4 linked regions of the Alligator mississippiensis genome follow. The protein of the gene in region 2 purifies or fractionates together with the protein of the main gene of each other region. This does not show direct contact. Links are inferred from orthologs where the notes say so. Each region holds a gene or a part of one and is shown on either strand. Other genes may lie near its edges.

Evidence for each region.
Region 1: the proteins of AAR2 (region 2) and C12H9orf78 purify together in Homo sapiens (affinity purification with mass spectrometry; 3 studies listed by BioGRID and IntAct, with this or other methods). This does not show direct contact. The link is inferred for Alligator mississippiensis from reciprocal best matches to the Homo sapiens genes AAR2 and C9orf78.
Region 3: the proteins of AAR2 (region 2) and TSSC4 purify together in Homo sapiens (affinity purification with mass spectrometry; 3 studies listed by BioGRID and IntAct, counting the BioPlex papers as one, with this or other methods). This does not show direct contact. The link is inferred for Alligator mississippiensis from reciprocal best matches to the Homo sapiens genes AAR2 and TSSC4.
Region 4: the proteins of AAR2 (region 2) and DDX23 purify together in Homo sapiens (affinity purification with mass spectrometry; 3 studies listed by BioGRID and IntAct, counting the BioPlex papers as one, with this or other methods). This does not show direct contact. The link is inferred for Alligator mississippiensis from reciprocal best matches to the Homo sapiens genes AAR2 and DDX23.

Annotation. Positions count from the first base shown.
Region 1 is NC_081835.1:58,725,856-58,733,785, reverse strand, and holds the start of C12H9orf78 (splicing factor C9orf78 homolog), read left to right. Parts: upstream 1-4,923; 5' UTR 4,924-4,984; coding exon 4,985-5,064; intron 5,065-6,079; coding exon 6,080-6,139; intron 6,140-7,213; coding exon 7,214-7,265; intron 7,266-7,531; coding exon 7,532-7,602; intron 7,603-7,798; coding exon 7,799-7,876; intron 7,877-7,930. UniProt on the Homo sapiens protein: Plays a role in pre-mRNA splicing by promoting usage of the upstream 3'-splice site at alternative NAGNAG splice sites; these are sites featuring alternative acceptor motifs separated by only a few nucleotides. May also modulate exon inclusion events.
Region 2 is NC_081832.1:22,956,646-22,964,218, reverse strand, and holds the start of AAR2 (protein AAR2 homolog), read right to left. Parts: upstream 3,006-7,573; 5' UTR 2,975-3,005; coding exon 2,233-2,974; intron 1-2,232. UniProt on the Homo sapiens protein: Component of the U5 snRNP complex that is required for spliceosome assembly and for pre-mRNA splicing.
Region 3 is NC_081825.1:188,812,367-188,819,211, reverse strand, and holds the start of TSSC4 (U5 small nuclear ribonucleoprotein TSSC4), read right to left. Parts: upstream 3,019-6,845; 5' UTR 2,914-3,018; intron 413-2,913; 5' UTR 286-412; intron 1-285. UniProt on the Homo sapiens protein: Protein associated with the U5 snRNP, during its maturation and its post-splicing recycling and which is required for spliceosomal tri-snRNP complex assembly in the nucleus.
Region 4 is NC_081838.1:6,588,230-6,595,501, reverse strand, and holds the start of DDX23 (probable ATP-dependent RNA helicase DDX23), read left to right. Parts: upstream 1-4,263; 5' UTR 4,264-4,361; intron 4,362-4,558; coding exon 4,559-4,758; intron 4,759-4,895; coding exon 4,896-4,994; intron 4,995-5,173; coding exon 5,174-5,276; intron 5,277-5,382; coding exon 5,383-5,448; intron 5,449-5,682; coding exon 5,683-5,821; intron 5,822-5,927; coding exon 5,928-6,061; intron 6,062-6,270; coding exon 6,271-6,383; intron 6,384-6,553; coding exon 6,554-6,697; intron 6,698-7,066; coding exon 7,067-7,272. Other genes in the region: RND1 (rho-related GTP-binding protein Rho6), read left to right, coding at 945-1,064, 1,167-1,254, 1,970-2,079, 2,649-2,783, 2,954-3,199. UniProt on the Homo sapiens protein: Involved in pre-mRNA splicing and its phosphorylated form (by SRPK2) is required for spliceosomal B complex formation.

The sequences.
Region 1 (7,930 bases), on a different chromosome or scaffold from region 2:
CCCCCCGAACAAACTCTGATACCTGTACTTTGAGGCCAGCGCAGTTCTTTCTTCAACAATTATGCCATAATAATTATCAAAGGACATCACTTAGACACAGGTGCTCATCGTTGCTTAGGAGAGGATGCAAGTTCCTGGATTTCTGCTAAATAAGACAGAGAAGGAGTTCATCAGCATGTAAGGACCACCAAGCACCGAAATACCAGCGGTAGCAAACCCCAGGCAGCGTGGTTCCAGCCAAGCAATCGGTTGCCTTTCCTGGTGGAAGCAGCAAGCATTACTCATCATTTTCCCAACAGCTGGTGCTGCATCATCCCCCCACCCCCTGCTTCACAGGCTGAGCTTTCAAGCTGGCTGCTTCTGTGTTCTTGTTTCCCACTTACTGATCAGCAATATTTAATGAATGTGGTTCTTAATATACCTTTTAAGATAAAAGCCTATTATCTTGCCAAGGGACTCAGCTCAGAGCAAAGATCACAGTGCTAAGCGCCAAGATTGGAAAGATCAACAACACAATTAACTGCTGGAGGCACCAGGGTTTTGGGGGGGAATCCTACATGTGCTGGAAATGCTCGGGTCCCGGGGCTTTCTTCTGGCAGCTCTGGAATCTCAAGAATTGAGGAAACCGGGGCTGCATCATACCTGTGCCAAGGTAGCGACCGCGCAGGGCTCCCAGGCTGGTTTTCAGAGTGGGGGTAACTGCTTTGTCACCCCAAGACCCTTCGCACCCGATGACACGGACACACCCTTCCCACGGGACAGTGGAGAATGCAAAAGCAACCCCTTGTCATCAAACTCCCCCGATCTGCACCTCCAGCGGAGACGACATCCTGACCCCACCCTTGTGCCTCATCCCCAAGTAGTAGCAAGCCCCCAAACCTCTGCAACCCCGCCGTGATGCCTCTCCTGCCTCCCCCCTTCAGGGAACGCGGCGCCGTCACACAGGGGGCCCCGTGGGCTGCACACCCTGGAGACCCTACCCCCTGCAGCATGCGGACCCCCCCCAAACAACCAGAGCAAGCCTCTGGGCCCCCTACCCCAGCGAGGTCAGTCCTGTCTGGAGTCACGCAGCCGCTCCAGAGACCCCGGCCTCCCCATCCCAGGCAGGGGGCGTCTCCCCACCGCCTCTCCCCCTGCGCCAGGCAGGGACGTGGCTTTGACAAGTCACCGACACCCTGTGCTTAATTGCGGGGTGCCTGGAGGAGCACGGCGGGCACCGAGAGCAGCTCCCTCCCCAGCCCCTCTGAAGCCGACCCCCAGGCTTGGCTGCCTGGCTGCTCCCTGGAGCCACAGGGCGGCTGGCCCTGGAAGGAGGGATGCCCCCCACCAGCTCCCTGGGTGGCCGGCTACGAAAGGCCGGGGCTTCGGTCCCTTGGCTAGGCCCCAGCGTGCCTGCTCCGCCTGGGGAAGGGGATGGGGAGGCCAGCACCGCGGCCAGGGAAGGGGCTCAGCCCCAGAAGCAGCATGGAGGGGCAGGGAGGGAGGCCAGTTACCTGCTGCCGGAGGGAGGAGGGAAGCCAGCGCCTAGGAGCTGCAGCTTGGCGGCATGGGAGGAGCCAGGGGCTGGGCCAGGGAGGGGAGAGAAGGACGAGCCAGGCCTGGAGGGGGAAGGAGGCAGTGGGCATGCAGAGGCAAAGGATGGGGGCCCTCCACGCCCCTGGCAGCGAGCTGCACAGGCGGTCCCCTGGGGCAGCTCCCATGGTGCATGCTGGGCTGAAGGGAGCTGGCCAGCTCCCTGGCCACGAGGTTTCCATACCCCTGCGTGGACTGCCAGGAGACACGGAAAGGCGCAGCAGAGCGGCCCAGGCTGGGTGGGGCGGTCCAGACAGGAGCCCCAGACCAGCGCTGGCTGCAGAGAGGATGGTCACCGCACGCATCGGAGCTGGACCCCACATGGGGCATTCACACCTTGGTCCCCACCGCTCAGATGTCCCCCCCAAATGGAGCCCAGGAGCAGGCTGGGTAGGACAGGGCATGGCTACGCGCAGGGCAGCACTGCACGCAGCGAGGAGCTGGGCGCAGAGCGCCGCAGAGCCTGCTGGCATCGACCCGACAGCGGAGAGCGTTGGCAAGGCAAGCACCTGACATACTGGCTCTGGGCTGATTAAGAAAGGATGGGGACGGACCGTGAAGGGAGGTTAACACGGCTGTAGTAAGTCACGGGGAACACTACAGATGGAGTTGACAGCATATTGTTTTACCAGAAGAAACGATCCTCAAACTAGCGAACTCCAGTCTAGGGGATGAGGCGCAGACCACGCAGGAACCAAGGGCACGTTCAGCACCCACGTGACAGCTCAGTCTAGTTACTCCTTTACTGCAAAGCAAAGATGCTCAGGCCATCCTGTACGCCTGTGGTCTAGAGCTAGCACAGCGCATCCCAACTTCCTGACTGGTGCCTCCAGCTACCACTGTAATGCAAATAATAACAGGAGGAGAAATATAGCTCCTTGCTTCTTCCAAAGGCTGGAGAATATATGCCGCATACTAGTGCCCGGGTACAGAATGCAAGTGCAGCAGTTTTGCAGCCTGGCTCCAGCCTTTGACAGGGCTGCAGAGATTTCCACGGCTTGGCAGCCCTTTTAGCAACTATTCTTTGTCCTTACACAGACCTCAGCTTTACTCTTCCTCCCTCTGGGCTGTTGTCGCTGTTCTGTGCTAAAAGCTATGCTCTCTCCAAGGTGTAAAAGGGCAGGCACAGGGGGAAGGCTATTGATCTTTGTTATGCACTAGACCATCCCAAAAAACCCCAACCCAAATCTGTTTCCCAAGCTCTTGGTTGATAGTTGCTTAAAATGTTGATAACATAATAATTAATCATACCTAGTATTTCTCATCCGCAGAGCGAACCATAAAGGCCCGTGGGCACCCATCTGGAGACATCTCATGTTGCAATGTCATTGCACAGGCCCGGATCCTTCACGTGTTTTCAAGAATCTACTTACACGAACCAGGGCATAACGGCACCCATGCACCAAAGCTGTACTGGGGGAGTTTCTATACATCTATATTGGGATCTCAGCCAATTGGTAGCCAAGATGACTAATTAGCAAAGTCCCCCATCCAGTGGCTAAATCTGCATCCTGCAACATTTACTGGCCCTGCAAAATCACATCTGATGCCAGGAGGTTGTTATACAAGCCGGAAGGGAAAAGAATCTGTCCAGCAATGCAAGCCACTCGTCCTTTGCAGATTATACAGGAAGTTCTCAGTGAGGAATATTTGTAAACACCTGCTCCTTGCTTCTTGTTGAAGTGCTCATAAGAAGCCAGCAGCATAATGCACACTTTTCCCCCCATTAGCTGTAATGCAAGATTGCCGACACAAATAACTTGTGATGTACAAATAAACACCACCAACTTCACAGCCTCAGAGCACTTGGGGACAAATGCAGGTTCCATCAGAGTCAATAGCAGAGCTCTTTTTGGCCTCAGTCAAGTCAGAAGTTGCTCCTTATTGAATATAGGACATTTGGGCTGAGAAAATAAAATCTTGAAAATGGGGTGATTTGGTAACAACCTAATGCTCTGTGCTGCTACTGCATCCTTCCCATAAGGCTCACAATTTTTTTTTTACTGACAGTAACTCCTGCGTGCGATAGGAATTATCCCTGATCTACAGATGCCGAAACCGAGTCAGAGAGAGGCTAACAGACGCGGCATAATTGCTACACCGCATCCCTTGGAAAATATTCTTCCACCCGGCAAACAACCCAGGGTGTTGCACACAAACACACCAAACACGGCAGCAGCTTCTCTGCAGGGCATCCACGGTGGGTTTGAAGTCACGTGATAAATGGGGGTGCAGAATTTGGTTTGTCGGCATTAACAAAATGTGATTTGGAAACGCTTATTCATTTAAGAGATGAATTTGGTTTGTCGGCATTAAAATGCAATTTGGAAACGCTTATTAAGAGAATCCGCGAGTAATTTTAAAAGAAAAGCCGACTCGCAGAATCACGCGAGCAAACAAAAGATCTGTGCTCGCGGGTGCTGGATTGCTCCCTGCAGCATGTTTGCTATTGGGTCCAATCCAGTTTAAACGCCTGGAGCAACGGGGCTCCTAGGGCAAGGCAGCAGGTCCCCGAGCCTCTGCTTCAACTCTTCTAAATCCTTTCACTTTTTCGGACAATTGTATTGTTATGGTTTTTTTATTACGTTTCGTAAAGGGTAACTGATGTAGCGTTTCATTGCAGGCCGTCCTCGACTTAAGACGTGTCGAGCTCCAACGACCCGGCGGCATTTACAAGGTTTATAAATTGACGCCCGTTTCGACTTCCTGACCTGTTTCGACTCGATCCGACGCCACGCCACGAACACAGTGGCTGCGTCGCCCGTCTCCCTGCACAACGCCTGCCCCAACCGCCTCGGACACTTTCTTTAAGAAAGCGGCCGAGACTCCAGCCAACAACAAGCCCAACCCAGAGCCCTTCCAAACGTCCAAAGTCACCCCAAAGAAGTGCTTCCCAATCAATATGATTGCTATTTACAATATAAATGCACAAATGCCGCGTGCGCCGGAGGCTGGGGGACACGACGGGCACGTGCAAGGGTGCACTGCCACGCTCGGGGGGGCACGTGCCCCCCCGCCACGTCACCAATGAATGCAGCTGCATTACTCATCTAGCACCAATGCGGGGTGACTTGTGGCTACCTTTGGGAGCCACCCCCCGTGGACAGCATCTTTTCCTAGGGGACAATCGGTTGCGAGGGACCACACGTGGACCCCCAGCAAGGGGCAGCGTCCACACGGACTCGGCCCGGGCCAGGGGAGACGCTGCCGGAGCAGACTGCGCAGCCCTTGCAGACGCGCCGGACAGGAGCCGAGAAACAGCGAGTCAGACCTGGGCGGAGTGGCGCAGCGCGCCACGAAGGGCACGCCCGCGGCTTCGGCACGCACCGCGTAGTCATCGCGCCCACTGCGTCATCGCAGCGCGCCGGAAGCGCAGGGCACCCGGGGAGCCGAGCCGCAGGCCCGGGCCGCGATGCCGGCGGGGCGGGTGTTCCGGCGGCGCGCGGACTCCGAGGAGGACGAGGAGGACCAGCATGTCACCGAGGAGGTCCGGTGGGTGCGGGGCGAGAGGAGGAGGGGCCGTGTGAGCGGACTGTGGCACTGTCCTTGCGGGGGTGCGGGCGCCAGACCCGCGTTCAGCCGAGCTGGGGGTTTGCCGCCAGCGCCGGCCTAGAGCTGCTTGCCTCCGCGTCGGCCTCGCTCGCTGGGACTCGCAGTGACCCGGATAAGTGAACAGGACGATTGACTCGCGTGCTTTCCCGGCGTGTGCTCCCAATGTGATCGTTTCAGATTTGGCAACGCTGGAGCCGCCTGTGTACGTGCTGGCGCACACGCAGAGCCCCCCTGTGTGTGCGCCACGGCACGGGCGGCTGGTGCCACCGTAGTTGGGGGGGCACGTGCCCCCCCAGCGACTAGTTAGCGACTGGGGTCCCCCCTGCTGCCGATTCCCCGTGTCCGATCTCGCTGACCAAGGGCGGGGGTCCTCCGCAGCCAATCTCGCTGATTGCACCGACCGGGAGGTGGCCGCGGCACTTCATCCAGCGCTCCCGCTGCCCGCCCGGCGCTCGCACCTGCCTCCCCGCCTGTCACCGAAGCGGGGAGCGCGGCCTGTCAGGGGTGCACGTGCACCTCTGTGCACCCACTGTGCCACGGGCTGAGCTGTATCCCAACAGCGTGAGCTATTTTCCATTTTTCCTCTGGAAAAGAGTCAATGGTGCACAGCTGCAATTGTTTTACAGAGAAAAAGCTGAGGGTAGAAGCGATGAGGGGCCGCGCGGGGGTCAGGGAGAGTTCCGTGGAGTTACAGGAAATGATGTTTCTCCAAAAGGAACAAGGACTTTCAGTCTGTCCCTCCCTCCCGTATCCTGTAAAGCCCCCATCACAATCCTAGAAACTTTAGTATCAAAATAAATACAACTTGTAGTATGGCACACGACAGAGGAGTGTGAGGGCTACACAGGGCAATAACCCCCCCTTTTCCAATGCTTGACGTGAGAGTGGTCTGTGCGCTGGGGAGTGGGCGCAGAGGAGCCCCAACCAGCTCACAAAGGTAACGTTTTTCCTTCAGGCTGAAGCTCGAGGAAGCGAAGGAAGTGCAGAGCCTGAGGAGGCGGCCCAATGGGGTGAGGTGAGTGTCTCAGCAAACACACGCCAGCTCATGTTGGGTCAGAGACTTCCTTGTGGCTGTGAGTTGGCCTCCCTGTCGTCCGTACTCCCCGGCGCTGAAGGACGTCGCTGTGGCCCCAAGAACTGGGCCTGGGAGAGGAGAAGGCCTCTTGACGGTCCAAAGACCTGTAAAAGTTGGTACTGGGCACAGCTGCAGTCGTATGTAAACCATGTTCATGAATACTGGTTCCCTGTAGAGCTGCAGCCCAAAACCATGAAGAGTTTGGGCCTACTTTAAAACTGAAAGACCTTAAAGTTAGTTAACGATGGGTGCATCTACTTGAGATGCTTAATGCGCATTGGACTAATTCTACTGCGCATTATCGCATCATGGAAAAAGTGTGCTAATGCAGAGTAGATTTAGTTTAATGCACATTAACATCACAAAAAATGTTCATCTGGGCTAATGCACAGTAGAGCTGAAAATGGTGCATTAAGTTAGTACCTGTCATTAGAGGTACTAAACTTAATGCACCGTAATTATGGTGTGTTAATGAATGTGTGGATTTGCCCTCCCCCATGATTCTTCTGGTCAGATTTCTCTCTCAGAGTTGTGTCATATCACCATATGTTATGATGTGTGGATCAGTTTCTCATGTCTTAAACATCACTTTGTAACACGTGTAATAGATTATAAACAGGGAATTGGAAAACTAGTCTTTAAAATGAGTCTCACTTGCTATCATCCATGTGATCTAAGGAAGGAGGCTTGTTAGGTTATGCCAGGGTACTGAGAATCAAGGTTTGCTCTGTGTTGAATTCTGTTCCTCACGCTGACTCGCTTTGTGACCTTTTATGTCAGTTAATCATGCTTTGCCTCAGTTTTTCTGTGTGGAAAATGGGGCTCAGAGCTCCCTAAATTGGATGGATGATATATGTTTTAAATATTGAATATCAGCAAAACAGTTTGAGACCTTCAAGTAGATGTTGGAAAATACTAAAAAAAATTAATGTGGTATTTATAATGAATGATAATGCAAGAGCAGGGTTTTTTCACTCAGTGAATCTTAGTTTTCTTTTTTGTGTGCTTTGCTAGTGCTGTGGCCTTGCTTGTAGGGGAGAAAATGCAAGAAGAGACAACATTGGTGGTAAGTTGTGAATATTTCTGTTACCTTACTGCTGATAAATACCTGTGGGAAAGCATCTACTTTGTACAATAGATCGTTTGGAAAACTTAGTTTTGGGTAGCAACTGGCCATCATAAAAGGCTAGTAGGATATAGCAGCCTAATGGAGGGAATTTTAGGCATTTTTACCAGATGCTCAGAGAAGAGGGTTTTCCAGAAAGTAACTTTGGGGCTGGTATAGATTAAGGGACATATTTCATGCCTTTGAATTGTTTCTGCTTTTTGTAGGATGACCCTTTTAAGATAAAGACAGGTGGGATGGTGGACATGAAAAAGCTGAAAGAACGAGGGAAAGACAGGTGAGTGTCTGAGAAGTCTGAAATGACTCTTCCTTTAATGCTAGAGAGTTGGCAGCACGCAGGACTCTTTCAGTATTGAAGAAGGAAGGTGAAGTGCTTCAAGCATTGTGCTTTGAAGAATTTAAATGAAGTCGTTTGTCGGGTTGCTTATAGTCAGTGAATTATTTAGTAACGTAATATTCTTGTTAATATTTAGGATTAATGAAGAGGAAGATCTCAACCTGGGAACCTCTTTCTCAGCAGAAACCAACAGGAGGGACGAAGATGCTGACATGTAGGCATTTGCTGTGTTTATATGTAGTGATTCACCATGAGGAATGAAGTGCCT
Region 2 (7,573 bases):
TGACTAGGAAACAAGCATACTGCAATCAAAAAAGGACATGTTTAGCACAGCCGTTTACTGTGGAGAGCCACTTTATCATCAAATAGAATCAGAGAGTAACGTTGCTGTGAAGTGACTTCCAGACACTTGGATATGGTATTGTCTGTTTTATTGTTATAAAACGCTGTTACCTACAATTATCACACTACAAAAATGGAGGCATTACATCCTCCTGTGATCCCTATCCTCTTGGCTTTCCAAAGCCTGTGCTTCCAAGGAGGGCAACAGGACAAACGAGGCTGCTACTGTAACTACAATATGGTGTGGGTACCGCCAGATGAGCCAGACAATCAAAACAAGAAAACGATAACTAATATGTACAGCATAACTAACGTGAGCAGTATACTGTGTACTACTCCTGATCAAAATTAAAAATTGCCCAATGTTTAGACTCGTCTTGTTTGTGAGAATTATCAACATCTAACACTATCCAGTGCTTTACGAGAAACAATTAACTTGCAAGTAAACTAGCTTTTTTTTAGAATAGGAGTTGCCAACATTTGCTGGCAAAGAGCCAGAGTGACCCAGTTCAGGGCTAAGCTGGGCTGGCACTAGGACCTGGCTGCATCTACCACTTTTCCCTGCCATCCTGCTGTGGCACAGGGAAAGCTCCCCCTCACCAAAGTCCTCAGTGCCCTACTGCAGTGCTGTGTGAGCAGAGCTGTTCCTCCGCCACAGCCACAGCTTCACAGGCCACAGATCAGCAGCCCCTGTCCTAGAACATTCCACACTATGATTCATAAAGGCAGAAAATTAACAGGAAAAAAGAAGAAACAAGAAATTGATATGAAATATCAACCATCTAGGGAGGTATCCAGGTTGTAGCCATATTGGTCTAGAGGCAAAAGGAATCAAAATTTGTGGCAGAGGTGGTATCTTTTATTAGACCAACTAGATATTTGCAAAAAAAATTCTTTATTTGCAAGCTTCTGGGCACAGGCACCCTTCGCTAGGCATAGGAGATTGCAAAGATAGTAAAAGTTCTCCTAGGTAGAAATGAAAATTGATATTTCATCATTTAGGGATTTATCCAAAGGATAACAATGCCGTCCCTGCTTGGTTTCACAGTCCTCATACAATGCCACCAAGGAAAGAATATTCAAACAACTTCTGATACAACAAGGATTTATCATTGTTTCCACTGGAATTAGCAGGTAATTAAAGCACTGCCACTGAGGGACACCAGCTGGCAATTTCTAATGTGTCGCTAAATAATGTATGATACATTGTTCTGTACAGTATTTACTCAAAGCTTTCTGCACAACCCCCAAATCCTACCAGAAGAGGTCACCAGCAGTGCACAAGCATCACTTATTCCCAAGTCTTTCAGCCTCTGCTGTTTGAACACAAGAGATGAAAAGCTACCATATTCAAGCTATTATGCAGATGAAAATGGACTGCATTAAAGTGGTGATTTAAAGAGACCACATTTAGATAGCTGCTTATAGCTTCCTGCTCTGTGCCCTCACTGCTGAATTTGCGGCTCCTCGGTTCTAATCCTCAAAGGGAATTTACAAAACACTTTTCACAGATGAACCTGTGAACTTTACTTCATCAACCTCCTATTTACAAAAAGCACAGACTAAATATAAACATTGGATTTATGACACATTATAACCTACTTGACTTCCGACTCCCCAAACGCCTCTCTACTATTTACCTGCTACATTCATTCATTCCCCCCCCCACTGACTCCTCAATTTACATTTTCATTGACTATCTGTCTTGCCTGCAGATCAGCCTCTGGCCTCTTTACTATTCCTTCCATCCAGGAAGAGTGCATACAAACTGCAGGTGCTTCCTCAGCCTGAAGAAGAGTTTTTAAACCCGAAAGCTCACTGATAAAAAGTTTTCCAACTATTTAAGTTGGTCTAATAAAAGATATCACATTCACCCAAAGAACCTTGTCTGCCGGCTCCTCACTGGCATTTTTCATGGCTTTCAGCAGCAGACAGTAAGCGTGTGGGGGCGCAGAGCAAGGAGGGATTGCAGCAGCAGGGACAGGGGACTGGCACAGTTTGCAAGCACCCAGCCTGCTGCCACCGCTTTGAAAGAGTGCCAGCCCCTGGGCCCAGTGATTCCCCGACAAAGCCACAGGCTGAGTTCCTGGCACAACAGGTACAGGGGGACATCCCCCCCCCCTCCGCTGCTCATGCTGGCAAAGAGTTAGTTACGGGAAACTCTCTCACTCACCCAGCACATCCTCAGGTTTGCTGGAGTATCGCTTGTTTATGACGGTTTCCAGAGCGTAGCTGAGATCCATGTTGTGCCTGGTGATTTCCTCAGGGGTCGCGCCGTCGGGGTACATCTGCGTCGGCACCTCCGTGAACCGAATCTCGGTGCCCGCTTTGGGCTTCATCTCGGGCAGCCGGGCCAGGCCCTCGGCATAGCTCTTGCACTCGGTGTCGTAGGGCGGCCGGTTCTGCTCAGCCCGGTCCTTGGCGTGCGTCCCCGCCAGCACCGGCAGCACCTCGGAGAAGGCGCAGACCTGGCCGCTCTCGGGCTGCAGCGTCTGCATCACCGCCTCGCTGATGCAGCTGCTGAGCGACACCCACTTCTTGAGCGTGTCGTAGGGGTAGGGGCCCAGGAACGGGTCCATCTCCAGCAGGTTGGCCCGGATCGCCTCGCTCTGCTCCGCGGGCGCCGGGCTCAGGTCGACCAGCTCCGTGGCCGGGTCCCAGCGCAGCACGCGCAGGTCGCGGCGCCGCAGGCTGAGGAAGAAGCCGGTGCGCGGCCCCGAGGCGCCGGCGTCGCGGCGGTCCACGGAGCTGTAGTGGAAGAAGTGGACGCCCGGGGGGATCATCTTAATGCCGCGGAAGCGGGGCCCCACGCTCCACGTCTTGTAGTCCACGCCGAGCTGCGTCCCCTCCGGCACCCCCAGCACCACCACTGCCGCGCCCTCCGCGAACAGCCGCCGCGCCCGCTCCGCCTCCATGCCCGGCTCCGCACGCACTCACGCACGGAAGCGAGCCCCCGGCTTCCGCTGAGCCGGCGACTTCCGGCGGGTCCGGCCGCGAAAGCACCGGGCGGCTCCTGCGGCCGCGCGGGAAGGGCCGGGCTCGGTCTCCCGGCGACACGGCGGTGGCCCGGGCCTCGCCACCGGGGGCGCGTCACAGCCTGCCCCGGGCGCGCTGGCAATGTTGTCCACGACGGCCCGGAGGAATGGGGCTGAAAGGGCGAGTCCATGTTACTCTTTGCCCCCCAGCCCCGCGCTGCTCCGTTAGCGAAGCTGTCAGCCCCGGGTGAATTGCAAGGGCTCAGTGCGCCCGTCCCCGAGGAGGCAGCGTGGGAGCCCCCGCTCGTTTCATGGGGCCACTGAATGCCTGTTTGTGGGCATTGCTTTCCCTCAAGAACATGCAACCGTCTCCGCAATAATGCTTCAACGTGATTGTGGTGTATAATTGATGATGTATCCTTGCCTGGGTTATAAATCCTCTTAGGGTTTCCCACCATGTCCTTGTCCTCAGCCAGGGGAGCATTAGGGACAAGACTTGCCCTTCTCCCACAAAGAAACCCTTCAGGGACACCCACATGGATGGCAGTTCATGGCAGACTCTTCCTCCTCTCCAAGTTCCCCCAGTATTTCCCATCCAAGCTCTGCCTCCCAGCCTGCCTTTATCCCCACGTCATTTCAGTGCCACAAATGATAGACATTTGAAGATTCCCCATCAAAAAGAAACCAAGCCCCCAAACACCTAACAGGACCGACATGTATTCAGGAGTAGGTCCCAGCAATGCAGAGACACCAGGACAGCACGTACTTTCATGCTCTGAACATCTACAGCCTGCTGTGAGCAGGGTTCCCTTTCGGTGGCTTGCAAGGGTGGAACGTAGCCTATGAATCTATGAAACGTATTTTGTGGGTGAAGTTTGGCAGGACAGCATGACCTCCCATCCTTCCTCTTCTCAACTGGATCTCTGCACTAGGTAGGCTCCTGGATGAGAACCTGGGCAGCTCTGCCCAACCCACAATGTATGGTCCTTGCTCGGCGTCCTCATCACAGCCAGCTGTGGGAGACCCAGCTGCCTCTGGGCATACTGTCACCCTGAGGAGTCTCTGCTCCTAAGGGTAGTAACTGCCACTGCTTTGCTCAGAGAAAAGTCAGCTTCAGGTCACAAGCTGGTTCAGCATCAAACACATTTATTTCACTTTTATTGAATACAAGAACAGTGAGCACACACGCATACATCACCAAGCACTGAAAGGGATATGATTGAAGGGAGTGGAGGAGAGAAGAGGAACCAGGGAAGAGGAAAGGGGAATTAGTGAAGGAATGGCAGAGCATTGCAGTTGGTTGGTAAGGTGCTTTTCAAATAAAAATAAATATTATTATTATTATTAGTACTCATGCAATTGCAGGCCAATTCTGGAATGAACTTGTGGGACTAGGTATGAACAGGCACTCACGTCTCCCACCTCCTTCGATGGAAAGGCCCCCAGATGAAAGAAAAAGAGTGATCAGCTACCTTAAATATCAGCAACAGTAATGAACAAGGCAGAAGAAAGCCAAAACTTTCAAGGGGCACCTGGCTTCAAATATGATCACAAAGAATAAATATTCTGTATATATAAAATCCATACTTTGCCAGGTGAGCAAAAGACTCCACTTTTTTCCCCCACTTTTTTCATTGTCACCCATCAGATACGTTGGGTTGAAGAATCCAGAGAACTGGATTCAGTTTTAAAAATCTGAACATGTAGGGGCTGAGTGCAATTCTCCTACTTAGGTTTTACAGCAGTGTAACTCCACTGATGCTCATGAAGTTGCTCCAAATTTTAAACCATCATGAGAGACCAGAATCAGGCACGAAGAGTTTGAGTAGCCTCTTATTCAAAAGTCAGTGGTCTCAAGTTTGCACCAGCTGCTCTTTGGTTTGAAATGCAGGATGTATTGAAAAAAACTATTGCGCTGGGACACACCCTAGCATGCCAATGGGAGAAACATGCCTAATATTTTGCACAGCTGTGGGAACAGATCTCCTGGAGTTTGGCTTCTCTTCCCAAAAGCACAAGTGCTTTATGTAGCTAGTTCACATGTGGGTTGCTGTGCAAAGGCTCAGTCTCTTTTTGATGTTGGTGGGCACAGTTCCCTAAAGCAGCATCGGGTGATAAGGTGGAGAATCCTGGGAGAAAAAATACACATTTGGATTCATTGGAAATCTGACACAAACTTTGTTGGCAGAAGCAAAGGAATCAATTCTTTTATCAGGGAGGCTGTGCTCATGCCATTAATGCTTATGGGAGAAACTGATGTGCCAAAAGGAGAACAGACTTTGTGGGGACATAGTAGAAGGCAAATGGAAGGACCAAGATCCACCAGAGGCCCGAAGTTCTCTGCTGTGGCAGCAGATTGATCAGATGGGTACGTCCACTTAATCCTAATTATTCTACTGATCCCTTTTCAATACAACCCTCTGATCCCATCACAAGAATCATTTAGAAGAGTTTTCTACCTGGTGTAAGGTCTCTTTATGTTTGTGGTCTGTGAAAAAAGGCAAAAATGGTGCAATATTTATGGGCCCTTCTGTAACTTGAGGAGCTTGGGACAATTTCTCTGGAAATCAGTTGATTTTTTTTTGTTTTGTTGTTTTTTTTGGTTCTGAGTTTGCCCTAACTGCTTGGTTGACAGTATATGAGGCTTGAGCTGGCACCCATAATCCCCATTCCAAGTGTACCAGTGATGGAAACCTTCATCTAGGTGCAAAAGTCTGACCAATAGAGAGGAAAGCAGCCTCACTGGACACTGGTGCATCATCAGCAACTGCCTCTCAGTGTTGGCTGACTGGACAAGGCTACTCAGCCTTGCTAATCTACTAAGCTTTGCACTCACACATCTTTGTAACACACAGTCACCTTCTCAACTGCCAGCAGATAGGAGTATACTCTAGGCAAGGCTGTGGTAGAACAGTACCAAAGAGGTAAAGGATGGAGATTGCTGTGTATCAGCTCCCCTCATGAGAGCTGTCATAACGCCTATGGTCACCTTAGCAGAAACCAGGTGTGCAGCCTGCTTCAAAGCCAAGCAGAGCAGAAATACCCTCTTGCTTATCTGAAACACACCACTTCAACTTCACTTGAGCTAGATCAAGACCAGGGTTCAGAAATGCAGCTATGCAAGTGTCCTGCTTCAGTAGGTGTAGGGTGTGGGAATGGATCTGTAACTCAGACTTTGGTCCTGGTTTTTAAGACATCGCTGAGGAGTATGACATGATCTCTCTACTGCTGTGGGGACTCCAGATCGGGGGGGGTGTCAAGGACTCCTAAAGGTGGGAAGCATCTTTTTGTTGGGGGGGCTGGTGAGACATTGCTGACTGGTGCATTTTGGTGATGCTAACTGGGCTGTGGTTATAACTGTCCATTCCTTCTTTCCCAGGCCCTCGCCTCTTTACATTACCAAGAACTCCTTTGTCACCAACCAACCAATTACAAACATATACTGTATCACTACATCAATTCCTCCTGCCACAGAGCTGATCACTCAGTGACAAATGCAACATTCCTCTCCACCCCACAGCGAGCAGTGGTTAATGAAATGTTCCCCATCCTCTTCCTGCGGGATGTCAGTGTGATCTAAGATTCTTGTAATACATCAACCACAGTCAATCAAATAATTATAACTTAAAAATGTCATCATCATATTTACCAGCACTGTTTAATTATTTTAATATTGTTTCCCACCCCTCAGTTCCCCACCCCCCTTGTTATATATAATATACATAACTTAAAAGCACATCCATATGAAACCCTTACAGGCTGCATCTTTATAAATGAAAAACCATATACATATATTTGTTTTTGTTTTGTTTCAAATTAGATCCATTCTTAAATACCTTCGGAAAAAGAGCTCGGATAAAGGGACAGAGGAAAGGGAAGGGAGGTTGGGGAGGAGCATAACAACTGAAAAATGATGCAATAGAACCAGCATGGAATGGGGAAGAGAGGTGGTTGCCACACATCCCAAATGCAAAAAATAATCATGAAAGAATCAAAACAGTTCAATGGTTCTCTCTCTTCTTTCCTTAGGTGGGGAATAGTTTTGTTTCCGCTTGGTTTCTTTTGTTTGTTTGTTTGTTTCTTGCTTTGTTGCAAAGCATCTTTCCTTTCCATTCAGTGTGCAACAAATGACCCCATGATCTGTGTATCCTTTAAATGGAACATGCAAAATGGCGGTTTGTTGTATTAATAAGATTATTATTATCATGATTTTTCTTATCAGTCCAGTCAAATTCATCACTTTCTCCGCAAAGGCTAAAAGAGGCGGTTGGTTTTGCTGTTATTGATGTTGCTGTTTGTAATTCATCTCATCTCCAGCATATAGCAGCAGTGCAAGGATGCGTTTTGTTTCTTGTGTGTGTGTATATATATATTTATATATATATATATATATAATATATATTCGCTATTCCTTTTTTTTTTTTTTTTTTGTCTCTCGCCATTAAGGTTGCAGCCAGGATGTCTGTCTTGTTGACAAATCCAGCATGAAGGCCCCTTCTTCACTGTTCTCCAGCTTTGTTTGAATAGAGATGCCAATGT
Region 3 (6,845 bases), on a different chromosome or scaffold from region 2:
TTAAAGCTATGGCATATGGATCAACGGCTTTTGTAAAAATAACAACAATCCCTCAGAACCAGGTGGCCGACTGGGTGGCAGTAAGTCTACCTGTATATAGCCTGCTTTCATACTGATGCCAGGGTGATAGTTGACTACATTTTGGTGAATTAAATTGCCTAACACTCCAGGACTGGTAACAAAACAGTCCCTGTTTTGGGACCCTGTGTTGGGACCCTGGGAACCTTTTCAATTCTGGAGAACATCGTGCTCGAGCAGTGACCCCTACTCCCCAGACAGACTCACAAATTCGTTGTGGTGATCCGAATATGGTACAACTCAGCTAGGACGGCACCTCTCTGAATGGATAGGTCCCCGTCAGACTCTTCCATCCTGGTCTCAGCTAACAGGGTTCTGCTGGATCACTTGTGACCTGCACAGGGGTCCAAGAGTTAGTCACTCCACACTTGGGCAATGAGCCTTTTATCACCATACTGAGTACAGAAGGGGAAAGAGCAGAGACTGGACAACAGCTACGCTAACACTGTAAAGCTTAGTGAAGGTGGCCATATAACTATGCAAACACAAGTCATGGTTTATTCTGAAATAATTTACCTTGGCATTCACACCACAATAAAACCACTCTGGTGTCCAGAATGAACACACAATGACCAATTCACCACACGCTGGCATTTGCAATACACACTACTGTAAGCCCTTGCCAGTCAGCAGATAGGAAGCCTATAGTCCACTGAGCAAAGGACTACCCTAGAAGGAAGTCATGGACATCAGATGGGTACTATCAGCATAATAGAGAGGAGGATCCTGGCAGAGGTACCACCCTGCAGCCAGGGATGGACACACAATCTGCTCTCCCACACTGGCAGCCAGAACACAGGGTAGCGTTGCAGCTTAGAGACCAGTAGTTCTCCGCCTTCTTAGACACAAGGCATCCCTCGTTAGGCCCAAGGCCCGCCCCCCTCTCCCCTTGGAAAACTCTGGCTCTTAGCTTTCACTTGTGTTTTGACTACAGGAAAGATCAAAGAGCAATTATTCAGCTGCAAAGAATAATTTCACAACAGGTCAGAACATTTTTAATGTTGGAGGTTTCAAATTGGAATCCTCAAGTTTATCTTGTGAACTGTGTTTGCACACCTAACAGTGCTACCATTGCGTGGCACCCCATGGCACCCTCAAAGGACTCTCAAAACATCTCAGGATGCTGCAGCACCCTGCTTGAGAATCACTGTTATGGACTAATTATGGGGTGTCAAAGATATGGCCTGGGAGCCATAGATGGACTGTGAAGTATCATCAGCTGCCCCTTCCACCCCCCATGCTGCCCCTGGGACTTGCAGTTGACCCACACACACCAAGCACTGAACCAGCCACAAACACAGGGCCTGGGATGAGTGCCACATCTGATGCCACATTTGATGCCCACTCTGGCTGGTTTGGACCTTATGTTGCATGGCTGGTCCTAGGACCACACCACATGCAGTGTGTGCAATGCAGGTCCGAGACTGGCCGAAGCAGGCACTGCACGTGCTGGGTCTGATACCCAGCCCATGGATGGACCACAGGCCGCTCATTTGGCCTAAGGGGGGGGGGGGGGGGGGGGGGGGGGAAGAATGATGCTGACTGCTGGGCAGATGGGGGGCAGTATGACGTGCTGGGGCTCTCCTCACTTGAGGCAGCTACCCATCCCCTAGGAACAGGAGCTTGCGCTGCTGCCACCGATTTGTGGGCAGGGGCATGAGCTCCCAGGGCCCCATTCACCCCCTAGCCCCACGGGCAGGGCTGAACCCCCTTTGGTGAAGCCTCCCAGGGGAAGGGGGCGTCACTCCACCCTTCTCCCCCTCTTGAAACACTGCTGGGCACAGTGCTCCCCAGCTCTGCCTTGCTGGGAAGAAGGGAGGAGGAACCCCCCACCCCCACAAAGCGAGTGCTAGGGGCGGCTGCTGTGCTTGCCTGGCCCTCATTATGCCAGGGGAAACAGAGATACGTAAAGCTTTCTGGAGATACTTCCCAAACTTTTCCTCAGCATGAACCCATTTATGGCCCCATTTGCTCAGCATGACCCCTCACTCCCAACCCAGAGCCGCCCACCCCCGTAACCCTGATTTCGCAACCCCATCTGGCATAATGACCCACAGTTTGGGAACCACTGGGCTAAGTGCAAAGAAGCTAAGTGCCCAGACCCCCTCAGCAATGAGACCCATCTGCAATGAGGGGAGGGGCTGGGCGGACACGCAGGGTCTCTCACAACCACACGCCCATGCACACCCTTGCCTGTGCACCCAGGCACACACGTGCACACACCTGGGCATGAGAGGCCCACAGCCCACCCCTCCCTGCCACAAGGAGGAGGTGGGCTAAGGAGGGTGATGCTGTTGTGCACACAGCATCGCCAGGTCTTAAATATGAAATTGTTGTATCGGAAGCTCAAAACGATCGTATTTGCTGAAAAACTATTGTCCGCTGCAAAAATATGCAAATAACTATGCAAATAAGCCTTCTTCTCGACTTCCTATTGCTCACGGCAAGTCGCCGGTGAGTCAGCAAGGACTTCAAGTCGAAGCATTTCTTTATTTGGAGGCTAGGGCTGACAGCAAACCCAGGTGTCATCTAAGACTCCCTGAGAGCGACTTCGGATTTGCATTTGCTGCCTCAACAATTACCCTACATTTCGCGCACTTTTACTACCACTGAACATACGAGAGCTCCAATGATCCTACGCAGAGGCTAATGATCGCGCACCTCGCAACACTGCGCACGCGCGCACAGGGCTGCCCTGCCCCCGCATCTGCCCTTCCGCGGGCCGCTCCGCGCCGCATCGCCCCGCCCCGCCCCCTTGCACAACGGGGGGTGGACAACGGCCGTGCCCTGGTGCCTGCCCCCCGCCCGCGCGAGCCCAACGGCAGCCCCGCGTACCTCCGCGGAGCTCGAGCCCAACCACTCCGCGCCACGGTCGCGTTCCTTCCGGGGCGGCCCCTGCCCCTCAGCGCCCTTGGCGGCCACCGTCCGCGCGGGGCAAGCTGGGAAAGCGAGTCCGCTCCGCCCGCGGAAGCTCTAGCAAGGCGCGGGAAGTGGCAGGCGCCCCGAACCACAGCTCCCATGGGGACAAGCGGCAGGATGGGCAGGGCAGGGGGGAAAGGGCAAGGGCAGCTCGTCCCTCCGCTTGGCCTGCTGGGAGTTGTAGTCCACGGACTCTCGGGGGACATTTGGCGAGCCTGCCCCCGCCCCACCCCGCACGGAAGGGACTGCGGCCCCCATAATGCACCGCGGTGTTAGCCGCTCTCGTCGCCGCGCCCTGTTACACCAATGGGGTGGGGTGGGGCGGGGCGGTGGAAGGTAGACTGCAGCCAATTAGGTGCTTGTATTTTGTAAACCGCCGCGGGATAGGTCGGGATGCGGGTAGCATTCTAATCCGCAGCCTTGTGGTCCCCGGTGCAAGCGTTCCCTAGTTCCTCGTGAGGGGTGTGGGGTAGGAGCATCAGAGCAGCCCCTTACGGAGGGAGAAGGAAAGTGAGGCACTAGCAACCGCAGGGGAGGTTAGCACGAGCCGTCTCTGGGTGTAGAGTCGTAGAGAAGCAGGGATGGAGGGCTGCCCAGAGATCATGTAGTCATCCAGGCCCCCTCTTGGGAGCAGGGCAAGAGCTTTCTGTGGCAAGCCACACTTGATCTCCCAACCTGCTTTCTCTGCTAGATGAAGGAGATGTCAACATGCCTCTTGCTTTTAGAGGTGGGAGGGGAGTGGGATACAAAGCCAAGCGTGGCTCATCTGAGATCACTCACACCCATCATGGCTTTGCTATAGGCATGCAGGGAGGGAGAGCCAGGGGGGAAGAAATAAACCTCTACCATCAAAATGAAGGAGGATAGTTTGGCCACCGTGGGGCTGCACAACATGGCCAGCTCTGACCATCAGGGATGTAGTGCAGTGGCATAGCAAGCTCGCTGAACGCCTGGGGCGGGCGGTGCGGGGTGGAGGGTGAGGGTATGCTGGCCACACAGATGGCGGCAGGTGGGGGGTGGGGTGCCTATGGCACGGGCAAGGGGAAGGGAGGTCACACCTGCCTGGGCTAGCGCTGCAGATTCTCAGTGTCAGCAGTGCGAGCTCTGCTGTGGCCAGGCTTCCTCCAGCAGATCCGGGTGTCCTATTTGCTTCCCCCCACCCACCCCAACCCTGATACATGTTGGGAGTAGGGCTGGGGCTGCTTTGCCAAAGGCTCCCCAGGGTCAGGGGAGAACCATTCCACCTGTCCCATTCGCCCCCCACCCCCTAGATATGTTGATGGGTGAAGTGCTGCCCTGCCCAGCTCCCATGGCCCAGCAGGGGCCGCCTAGGGGCTTCCCCTGTCAAGGCAAGGACTCCCAGAAGGGGAGGTGGATGGATTTTGGCAGCCTCTCATAGTTGGCGCCTGGGGGTGGTGCCCTGCTCACCTCATCCTAGTTAACACTATTGCTGTAGCGTGCTGTTTAGATGAACACAGTTAGCTGGTCCAGCCTAGACTGGGCTACAGTATGGCGCTGCTGCCACAACAGCTATATTAGCATGACTGGCAGCAGGGGCCCCAGTAGAGCTATTTCAGGGTTGTTGGTTGTAGCCACGTTGGTCTAAGGACATAGGCAGGCAAGGTTCTTTGGGTAGGTGGGATATCTTTTATTAGATCAACTAAATAGTTGGAAAAAATGTTCTTTGCAAGCTTTCAGGCACAAGCACTTTTCTACCTTGGGGAACATATGACACCAGTAGAGTCTCCCGATGCCTGAAGAAAGGTGTTTGTTCCTGAAAGCTTGCTTGCAAAGACCATTTTTTGCAAAAGAAGATATCACATCTACCCAAATAACCTTGCCTGCTAGTAGAGATGTGGCATTGAATAGCTAAAATCTGGATGAAGGAAAGCTGCCTCAGGTGATTTTTCTAGGCAGGGTCAGAAAGGCAGTAAGTCTGACAGTATTTGGGAGACACCCTCATATGAAGGCCCTTAGCTTCCAGCCAGCCCATAAACAGTCTGGCCCAAAGTCTTTAACACAAGACCAGTCTGGAGCAAAGCCAGCGATGACATTAGACCATGTCCCTAGGGATTTGCTTTAAGGTCCCTTTAGTCCCAGTTACACATCACTGTATAGGCCTGATTTAAGCCAGTGAAAGTGAGAGTGAGTCCTTCAGAAGAGGTCAGTGGGCTCTGAAACAAGATGTAGGGAATAAAAGCTTTTATTTAATTAGTTTTCTCAGCACTGGATAGATAACTCAGAAACAATGTGGCCTTTACTTAGGGGCCTACATATAAACAAAAGCTGTATGTTTGTGCCATGTGCCAGCATATCATATTGGGACAGGAGCTGTATTGTATTCCAAGCTTACCTGCCTCAGGGATTGCTGAGATACCTTTCCTCATGGCTTCCAAACACTGCTTCACCTCTAGCGTTGGTGAAAAATGTGTGATGTTAAAGGCAGGTTATGTTTGTGGCCTAAAAGATCTGGCTGAATCCCTTTAAAAATGGGGCCTCATTATGAGTCATCCATAATATAAACTGCAGCCATTTCATTTGCATTGTCGGTTTTAAATATATATCACAGCCTTCTGGAGTGTTGCTAACTACAGTAATTTATGACCAGAGAGCTGTGTTTGGAATATATTTGGCAGCAATGACAGGCAAGGTTAGAACAAAATGTCTTTCATCTGGCCAGAGTTGTGCTGGAGTTTTAAAACAACACTAATACAGGCTTTTCCCCATTCAAAGATCTGTGCAGCATGGAAATTCATGGGATCGGCCTTTCCCAGGGGCTGCAGAGGGTTGTGGGGTACCACCTAGGAGCTCAACAGGGAGCAGTGTATGGGTGGGTTGGGTGGGTAGAGAAAGAGCATCATTGGAAAGAAAAGAATAAACAGTGGGTGCGGTCTAAGGGAATAGGGTAAAAAAAATCTATTTGCAGAGTAGAGGGTAGTATTGGGAGCATGGCAGGTGATGCACTCTAAAGTGTGGATGGGAAAGGGCAGGAAGAGAGCAGGGGAGAAAGCAGCAGCCGGTCCCATTTTGTAAGATCAGGCACAAGCCGTCTATCACATGGCGAGGTGGATTTGGAGTTTCACTGGAATCAGAGAGAGACCGTTTTCCAGTCCTCGTTCAGGTGCCAAAGTGGCCAGAGGCGTGAAGAGACCTTTCTCCATCACTGCCACCTTCAGCACCCAGGTGCCTTGTGGGCCATGCACCATCAGGAGATATTTTACTTCTTTTGTGCTCCACTTTAGTTCCCTTTTTAATGGCTTGTGTTTCCTGCCTGCCTGAGGGCTGAGATCACTGTGAAGTCTATGTCGCCCTCCCCGCCCTTGCAAGTTGCTACCAAGGCCCATGTGCTGCGAGGCATTAAGGCTAGATTTGTTTTTCCTAGAGGCTGGTGGCAGAGCAGTTTGTGCTGGCGGCGTGTTGGGGCTCTTGCAATTGCTTGGCGACACCAAAATAAAAATAGTGAGTCAGGGCTCAGAGATGAACAGATGGTAAAGCAATTTCTTCTAGCTCGTGTGAGCGGAGGCAGCTTGGTAGGATGGAAACACAATTCTAGGCAACAGCGCAGGAAACTGTCAAAACGAAAAAGCCGTGTTTTCTGAGTACTTCTTCAGGGGTTGTTTTATCACAGCCCAGGGGATCTCAGGAGAAGTAGCCCTGCACAGCTGCAGAGGAAGTGATCATATCCCCTAGAGGCGTATGCATATGCCTGCTGGTCCTCAGCCCTGTGGTGTGAGGGCTGTAGCCCAGAATAAGCGGACAAGCTCACGCAAACCCCTGCATACTGGGTGCTCCCACCCTCAAATACATCAGCACAGTGCAGAGCAACCAGTCATTCAGCCTTTCCCTCC
Region 4 (7,272 bases), on a different chromosome or scaffold from region 2:
TGGGGCCGTGGTGTGCTCTGGGGTACGTGGAGGGGTCTCTGCTAATGTCCCAATGCCCCCAGAGGGTGAGCCCCCCTGGGTCAGGTCAAAGTCTGGTGTGACCCTGCAGATGGCCGGGGGGGGGGGGGGGGGGGAGGGGGCAGATCTGCCCAGCCAGACCCCCTGTAGGGCAGGTGGGGGCAAGCCTGGGGGCTGAGGGAGGCAATTAGAGCCTGTCCTGACCCCTCCAACCAGCCCTGGCATCCGCCCCACCTTCAACCGCAGCCCACCCAAGACCCCCCCACCCCTAGCACAGGAGGCACCAGCCCCACTCAACAGACCCCCCACCAGCGGCCCACAAGACACTTACCACCCCACATCCACCCAGCCTTAGCACCCAACCACGCGAAACCCCACCCGTCTCACACCCACCCAAGACCCCTCCCCACCCTAGCTCTCGCCTACCCCCTCCCATCCTCCCACCCACGAGAGACCCCCCCATCCCAGCACCCACCAGAGACCCCCCACCCCTAACCACCATCCACCTGAAACCTCTCCCCACCCCAGCACTCACCCGGGACCCCACCCCACCCCTAGCCCCCACCCATCTTAGACCCCTTCTCACTCCAGCATCCACCCAAGACCCTCCCCACCCCAGCACCCACCCGAGACCCCTCCCCAACTCCCAGCCCTCCCCTCCACACCCACCTGAGACCCTACCTACCCCCGTCACCCACCCGAGACCCCCCCCCTCCCCGGGGGGCAGCGACCCCAGCCCGGGCCGCTGTGACTCAGCCCCGCCGCCATTGGCCGGCCGGTGCGCTGCCCGCTGTTCCGATTGGGCGGTGGGAACCCCGCCCCGGGCCACCATTGGCCGGCGCGGCGCTATAAGAGCGCGGCCGCCCCGTCGGGGCTCCGGGGCGCTGCGCCGCGCGGGGGGAGGTCGCGCGTGGGAGCTGCTCGCCATGCGGGAGCGGAGGGCGGCGGCGGCCGCCGTGGCGCGCTGTAAGCTGGTGCTGGTGGGCGACGTGCAGTGCGGCAAGACGGCCATGCTGCAGGTGCTGGCCAAGGACTGCTACCCCGAGGTGAGCCGGGTCGCGCGTGGGCGGCCCATGGGGGGACGGCGCCCGCCTCCGTGGCCTCGGCCGGCCGGGGCTGACCCCTCTTTCCCCCTCCCCTGCCTGCAGACATACGTGCCCACGGTCTTTGAGAACTACACGGCCTGCCTGGAGGGCGACGAGACACGCGTGGAGCTCAGCCTGTGGGACACCTCCGGTACGGGGGGGGGGGATACGCGGGGGGGGTTGACATGCGTGTCTGGGGGGGGGCGCGTCTCTGTTCTGTCTGCTCCTCCTCCCCCCGTGTGGCTCTGCCACTGCAGAGCTGCGGGCATGTCCCGGGGGCAATTGGAGGCTCTGGGGGGTTGGTAGGGGGTGCAGGGCAGCCCTGCCACCCCTGTAGCCCCCCAATCCGGAGCACCCCTGCAGCCCCCCCATCCCGGTTGCTATGGTGATGTGCTGGGCTGGCGCAGGAGCCGGCGCTGTTTGCTATTCTGAGCACGGAGCGTCTGGGCTGCAAAGCCTTGGATGCGCTGGGGGGGCGGGGGGCTGGGGAGGGGCCCCGGGCAGCCCCCACCCCCGCATCCCAGCCCGGGGGCTGTGCTGGGGCCCCCCTCTGCTTGGGGGTGCAACATCCTTTCCTTTGTTCCCTTTATCTGTAACTGTACCCCCCCCCCCCACTCTGCAGCTGCCACCCTGCTGCCCCCCGGGTGGGCACCCACTGCCCCCCTCCCTGGGCCGTGTCAAGCTTGGTGCTGCAAGGGGAGGGAGCAGGGGGTGGTGGTTATATAAATGGCACAGGAGCCATTTCCCAAAAATCTGCAGGGAGGCAGGAGGGAACTTGGCTGCTGGGCACGAGCTGGCCCTGGGGCCTGGCGGGGGCAACAGGCCAGCCCACAGCACCCCCCGGTGACCCCTGCCTTCTCCCACAGGGTCCCCCTACTACGACAACGTGCGCCCCCTCTGCTACAGCGACTCGGACGCTGTCCTGCTCTGCTTTGACATCAGCCGCCCCGAGACCCTGGACAGCGCCCTCAAGAAGGTGATACTCGCCCCCCCCTCCCACCCTGGGGCAGGGGGGTCTTGGGGCTGACCCCCAAGAGGGGCAGAAGTGCCCTCTGGCCAGGCTCTGTGTCCAGCTGATTACCCTGTGGGTTTGGCCTGATTTTAAAGGGATGCTTAGTGTCCCCCTACCCTGGGCTGTTTGGTGCCATGGGACTGGGCTGGAATGGGGCTGAAGGACTACCTTGCCCCCGCTCCCCCCCCCCCCCCCCATTTTGGCGCTGCCTGGGGCGGGGGGCATAGGGCAGGGTGCCTCTGCATTAGCCACTTGCTGTTCCCTTCTAGCATGGGGGGCTGGTCCTGCTGCTAGCTGGATGTGACACCTACCCCCTCCATGGTCTCATCTGCAGAGGTGGAGGGGTCTGTTCTGAAACCCCCTCCCCAGGGCTCCAGTGGGACCAGGCTCAGCACCCAGGAATGCCCCTACACCCCTGGAGCTGGGTGCAGCCCCCTCCCCAGCCAGGGCAGCACTGGGGTGGTACCAGGGAGAGCTTGGGGCTGTTGGCCTAGGGCCCCCTGACCCTCCTCTCCCCTCCATGGTCCCTGCAGTGGAAGACAGAAATCCTGGACTACTGCCCCAGCACCCGGGTGCTGCTGATCGGCTGTAAGACAGATCTGCGAACCGATCTGAGCACTCTCTTGGAGCTGTCCCACCAGAAGCAGGCTCCTGTCTCCTACGAGCAGGTGAGTACCAGCGTCCTGCTTTCTTATCCCAGCTCCAGCCGTAGCCTAGAAGGACCTGGCTCTGGCTTGAGCAGTCTGGGGCGTAGCATTTGGGACCTTCCCCTCCTGGTGCCTGCCAGGCTCCCAGGCCTCCAGCTGCCCCCTCATCTCTCTCTTTGCTCGGGTTGCAGGGCTGTGCCGTGGCCAAGCAATTGGGAGCTGAGAGCTACCTGGAGTGCTCTGCCTTCACCTCGGAGAAAAGCGTCCATAGCATCTTCCGCACAGCCTCTGGCGTCTGCCTGAGCAAGGGCAGCCCCCCGCCCCCCAAGAGCCCTGCACGCAGCCTCTCCAAACGCTTGCTGCACCTGCCCAGCCGCTCCGAACTCATCTCCTCCACCTTCAAGAAGGAAAAGGCGAAAAGCTGCTCTGTCATGTGAAAGGGGGGCCTGCTTCCAGCCCCTGGACACTCTCCAGCCCCCACGATGGGGAGGGGGGGAGGGCTGCTCCAGCAGGGGGGAGCTGGGAGCTGGGTTATATCCCGCCAGAGGAGCGGGCCCCATGGTGAGGCCTTCCCCTGCAGAGGGGATTTGGGGCCTGGAGGCTTCCCCGGCTGTAGCAACCCCAGAATCGGCCCAGCTCATCGCAATGCTTCCCACACAGGCTCCGCGCACGTTCTCCGGGGGACGGGGAGAGGGGCTGCCGGGGCCCTGGGGTGACCCTGGGGCTGCTCCAGGCTGCTTGGCACAGACGGGGCTTGGTTGATGGCGGCTCCTGCACCCCCGGAGCCAGGACAACTTGCCACAGACTCATTGTTTCCCCTCTAACGCCCAGTCGCTGTCCAGCCGTGCCCTGTCGTCTCCATCCGCTGCTGTCCCTGGCCCCCGCGCTGCCTGGCACCGGCCGTTCGCCTTGATGTTACCTGGCCCCGGGGCAGGGGCAGCTCCGCCTTTGCCTGCGGGGGGGGGGGGGGGGGGGATGGGACTGTGGGGTGGGGGTGGTTTTTGTTTTATAGACCTTTTGTCTGGGGGGGTGACTCTGTTCCATGTTCAGTGTTATTAAAAAGCTTATTTATTATGGAAAATACAGTGGATAGCAGCAGCCTGTGTCTAGTGCCTCTTGTCTGTGGAGGGCGAGCAGCCTTTGGAGCAGGGGTGGGTTGTGGAGGTGCAGGGAGGTGACCTGGGCGGGGAGGAGCGTCGGTGGCAGAGCCGGGAGCAAGACTCCCGGGTGCGGTGCAGGGGTACCCCGCGCGGCCCGCTCCAGCCTGCAAAGGGTTAACCCCAGCGCGGAGCCCGGCCCGCGACTACATTTCCCGGCGAGCCTCGCGGCCGCTCTCGCCTTCCCAGCGGGCCGCGCGGCGCTGGCTGGGCCAATGGGGCCGCCTTCTGGTCTGTTGCCGCGGCGCCTGCTGGGAGCTGTAGGCGCCGAGCCAATGGAGTCGGTTCCGGCCAGGCCACGCAGCGCCTCCTGGGAGCTGTCGGCGCCGGGGCAATGGACTCGCCTTCCCGGCATGCCGCGCGGCGGGGCCCGGTTCCGGAGTGAGCCCGCTAAGATGGCGGCGGCGGCGCAGGGGCCCGAGGCCTGGTGACGCCGGCGGCGGTGAGTGCGGTGGGACGCCCGGGCCCCCTCCCCGCCTCCCCCAGCTCGCTTCTCGGTTCCCCGGGGGGCCGCCCGCCTGCTGGGGCCCCGCGCCCTGCTCCCCCACGATGCCCGCGGGGGCCGGGCGGGAGCCTCCCCCTGGCGCCGGGGACAGCGGGGTCTCGCCTCCGGCCCTGACAGCGTCTCGGCCCCGGCAGATGGCGGGGGAGCTGGTGGAGAAGAAGGAGCGGGACCCGTCCCCGGCCAAGGAGGATCGCAAGCGCTCGCGCTCCCCGGACCGAGACCGGGAGCGCGACAGGAAGAGCCCCCCGGGCAAGGACAGGAAGCGGCACCGGTCCCGGGAGCGGCGGCGGGGCAGCCGATCGCGGTCCCGCTCCAGGTCCAAGTCGGCTGACAGGTGCGGGGCAGGGGCAGGGGCAGCCCTGTGCCCCGGGGAGGGGTGGGGGTGCAGCCAGCTCTGGGGCGCGGGGGGACGCGGGCGGGCGGGCGGGCCCCGGTGTTTGCGGCCGCTGCCACGGGGCTTTGCGCTCGCAGGGAGCGGCGACACAAAGACCGGGAGCGCGACAGGAACAAGAAGGACCGCGACCGGGAGAAGGATGGGCACCGGCGGGACAAGGACCGCAAGCGCTCCAGGTCGGTCGTGATGGGGCGGGAGCGCGGGACGAGTGGCTGGAGGCTCCCTCCCTCCCTGCCTGGCCGTGTGGGCGGGCGGGCGGGGAAGGCGAGGGGCCTTGGAGCGGGTGGTTGGGATCCCGCCAGCGAGGAGCTGGAGGGGGCTGAGCTGGGGCCCGTGCCTGGTGTCCCCCGCGCAGGAGCTTGTCCCCGAGCCGAGGCAAAGACTCCAAGTTTCGGAAGGACAGAGACTCCCGCAGGGCGGCGGAGGAGGAGGAGGATGCGGCGCTGAGGAAGGAGAAGGTGGGGTGTCAGGAAGGGGCAGGCACAGCCTGGCACTGGGTCCGCCTGGCGCGGTGCGGGGCTGGCGCGCCTCTCGGGCTCTGACGGCCCCGTCCTGTGTTTGCAGGCCCAGCCTCTGTCGCTGGAGGAGCTGCTGGCCAAGAAGAAGGCTGAAGAGGAGGCAGAGGCCAAGGTGAGGATGAGCAATGCCGTATGCTGTTGAGGGGTTGCCTCCTTTCCTCCCTGTTGCTGGGCCTGGTCTGCACTATTGCCAAGACAGAAAGCTGCTACCCTCTGGGTCCCTGGCTCTGCGCTGGGCAGTGCGGTACGGCAGGCAGCCCATCGTGCCTGGGGTTGTGCGAGAGGATGGGAGCATGGAGGGCTGCTGCGCTGCTGGGCCGTGCTCACTGCCTCCTCTGTCCTCCAGCCCAAGTTTCTCTCCAAAGCCGAGCGGGAGGCTGAGGCACTGAAGCGGCGCCAGCAAGAAGTGGAGGAGCGGCAGCGGCTGATCGAGGAGGAGAGGAAGAAGAGGAAGCAGTTCCAGGATATGGGGAGGAAGATGCTGGGTGAGTGCCTGTCGGGGGTTGTGTGGCTCCTACCCAGTCCTAGGAGGGCCCTCGGTGCTGCCCTCGAGTACGGGGTACGCTGAGTCCCCGTTTGCCTGCCCCACAGAGGACCCGCAGGAGCGGGAGCGCCGAGAGCGGCGGGAGCGCATGGAGCGCGAGACCAATGGCAATGAGGACGAAGAGGGGCGGCAGAAGATCCGCGAGGAAAAGGACAAGAGCAAGGAGCTGCACGCCATCAAGGTACTCGGCTCCCCCGGTCATGCTGCTACCCCTGGGCAGGGAGTCTATATCTCCTGTGGATTGGGAGCCAGGATGCCTCAGTTCCCTTGCAGCTCTGGGGCCGGGTGGGGGCTGAAGGAATGGAGCTGGGGGCTGGCAGTCCCTTTCTCTTAGGTTCCCGGGGCTGGTTGCATCTGCCGGGTGGGGGCTGATGGCTATGCTGCCCGCAGGAGCGGTACCTGGGTGGTGTGAAGAAGCGGAGACGCACTCGGCACCTGAACGACCGCAAGTTTGTCTTCGAGTGGGACGCATCTGAGGATACGTCCATCGACTACAACCCACTGTGAGTGTGGCCCAGAGCCGTGGCTGACTGGTGCCGTGGGGTCACCTGCTCAGGGCAGAGGAGGTCTTCCCGTGTTGTCCCCCCCTCCCCTCCCTACCTGGCTGTGGAGCACCAGAGCAGCCTGAGGTGCCGCCCTAGCTGCCCTGACCCCATCGCCTCCTGTTGTGCAGGTACAAGGAGCGGCACCAGGTGCAGCTGTTGGGCCGCGGCTTCATTGCCGGCATCGACCTGAAGCAGCAGAAGCGAGAGCAGTCGCGCTTCTACGGGGACTTGATGGAGAAGCGGCGGACACTGGAGGAGAAGGAGCAGGAGGAGTGAGTGGCTGCTATGGTGAAGGGGGTGGGCGTTCTCGAGCCTGGCTCCAGGGTTGGGAGGTTCTGACACCAGACGTGTTTTGGGGGCGCTGGTTACGGTGTGGAGCCTTGGGTCTGGTCCACGGCTGCAGGGTTCCCAGGGCCGGTCACAGGCACTAGCTGCACTACAAGGGCGCAGGGATGGGGCACGAGGTCAAGTGGTTTGGGTGCAGGTGTGAGGCCTCCATGGGGCTAGAGCTGAGGTGCTTCTGGGATGTCTGAGGTGAGGCTGGCTACATTCTTCCCCACGTTTGCCCAGCAAGGGTGGCAGGTGGCTTCTGCCCAGCAGAGCACACGGGAGACCTGATTACCGGTATTCCCTCCCCGCAGGGCCCGGTTGCGCAAGCTGCGGAAGAAGGAAGCCAAGCAGCGCTGGGATGACCGGCACTGGTCGCAGAAGAAGCTGGATGAAATGACGGACAGAGATTGGCGCATCTTCCGCGAGGACTACAGCATCACCACCAAGGGCGGCAAGATCCCCAACCCCATCCGCTCCTGGAAGGACTCCTCCTTGCCTCCCCACATCTTAGAGGTGA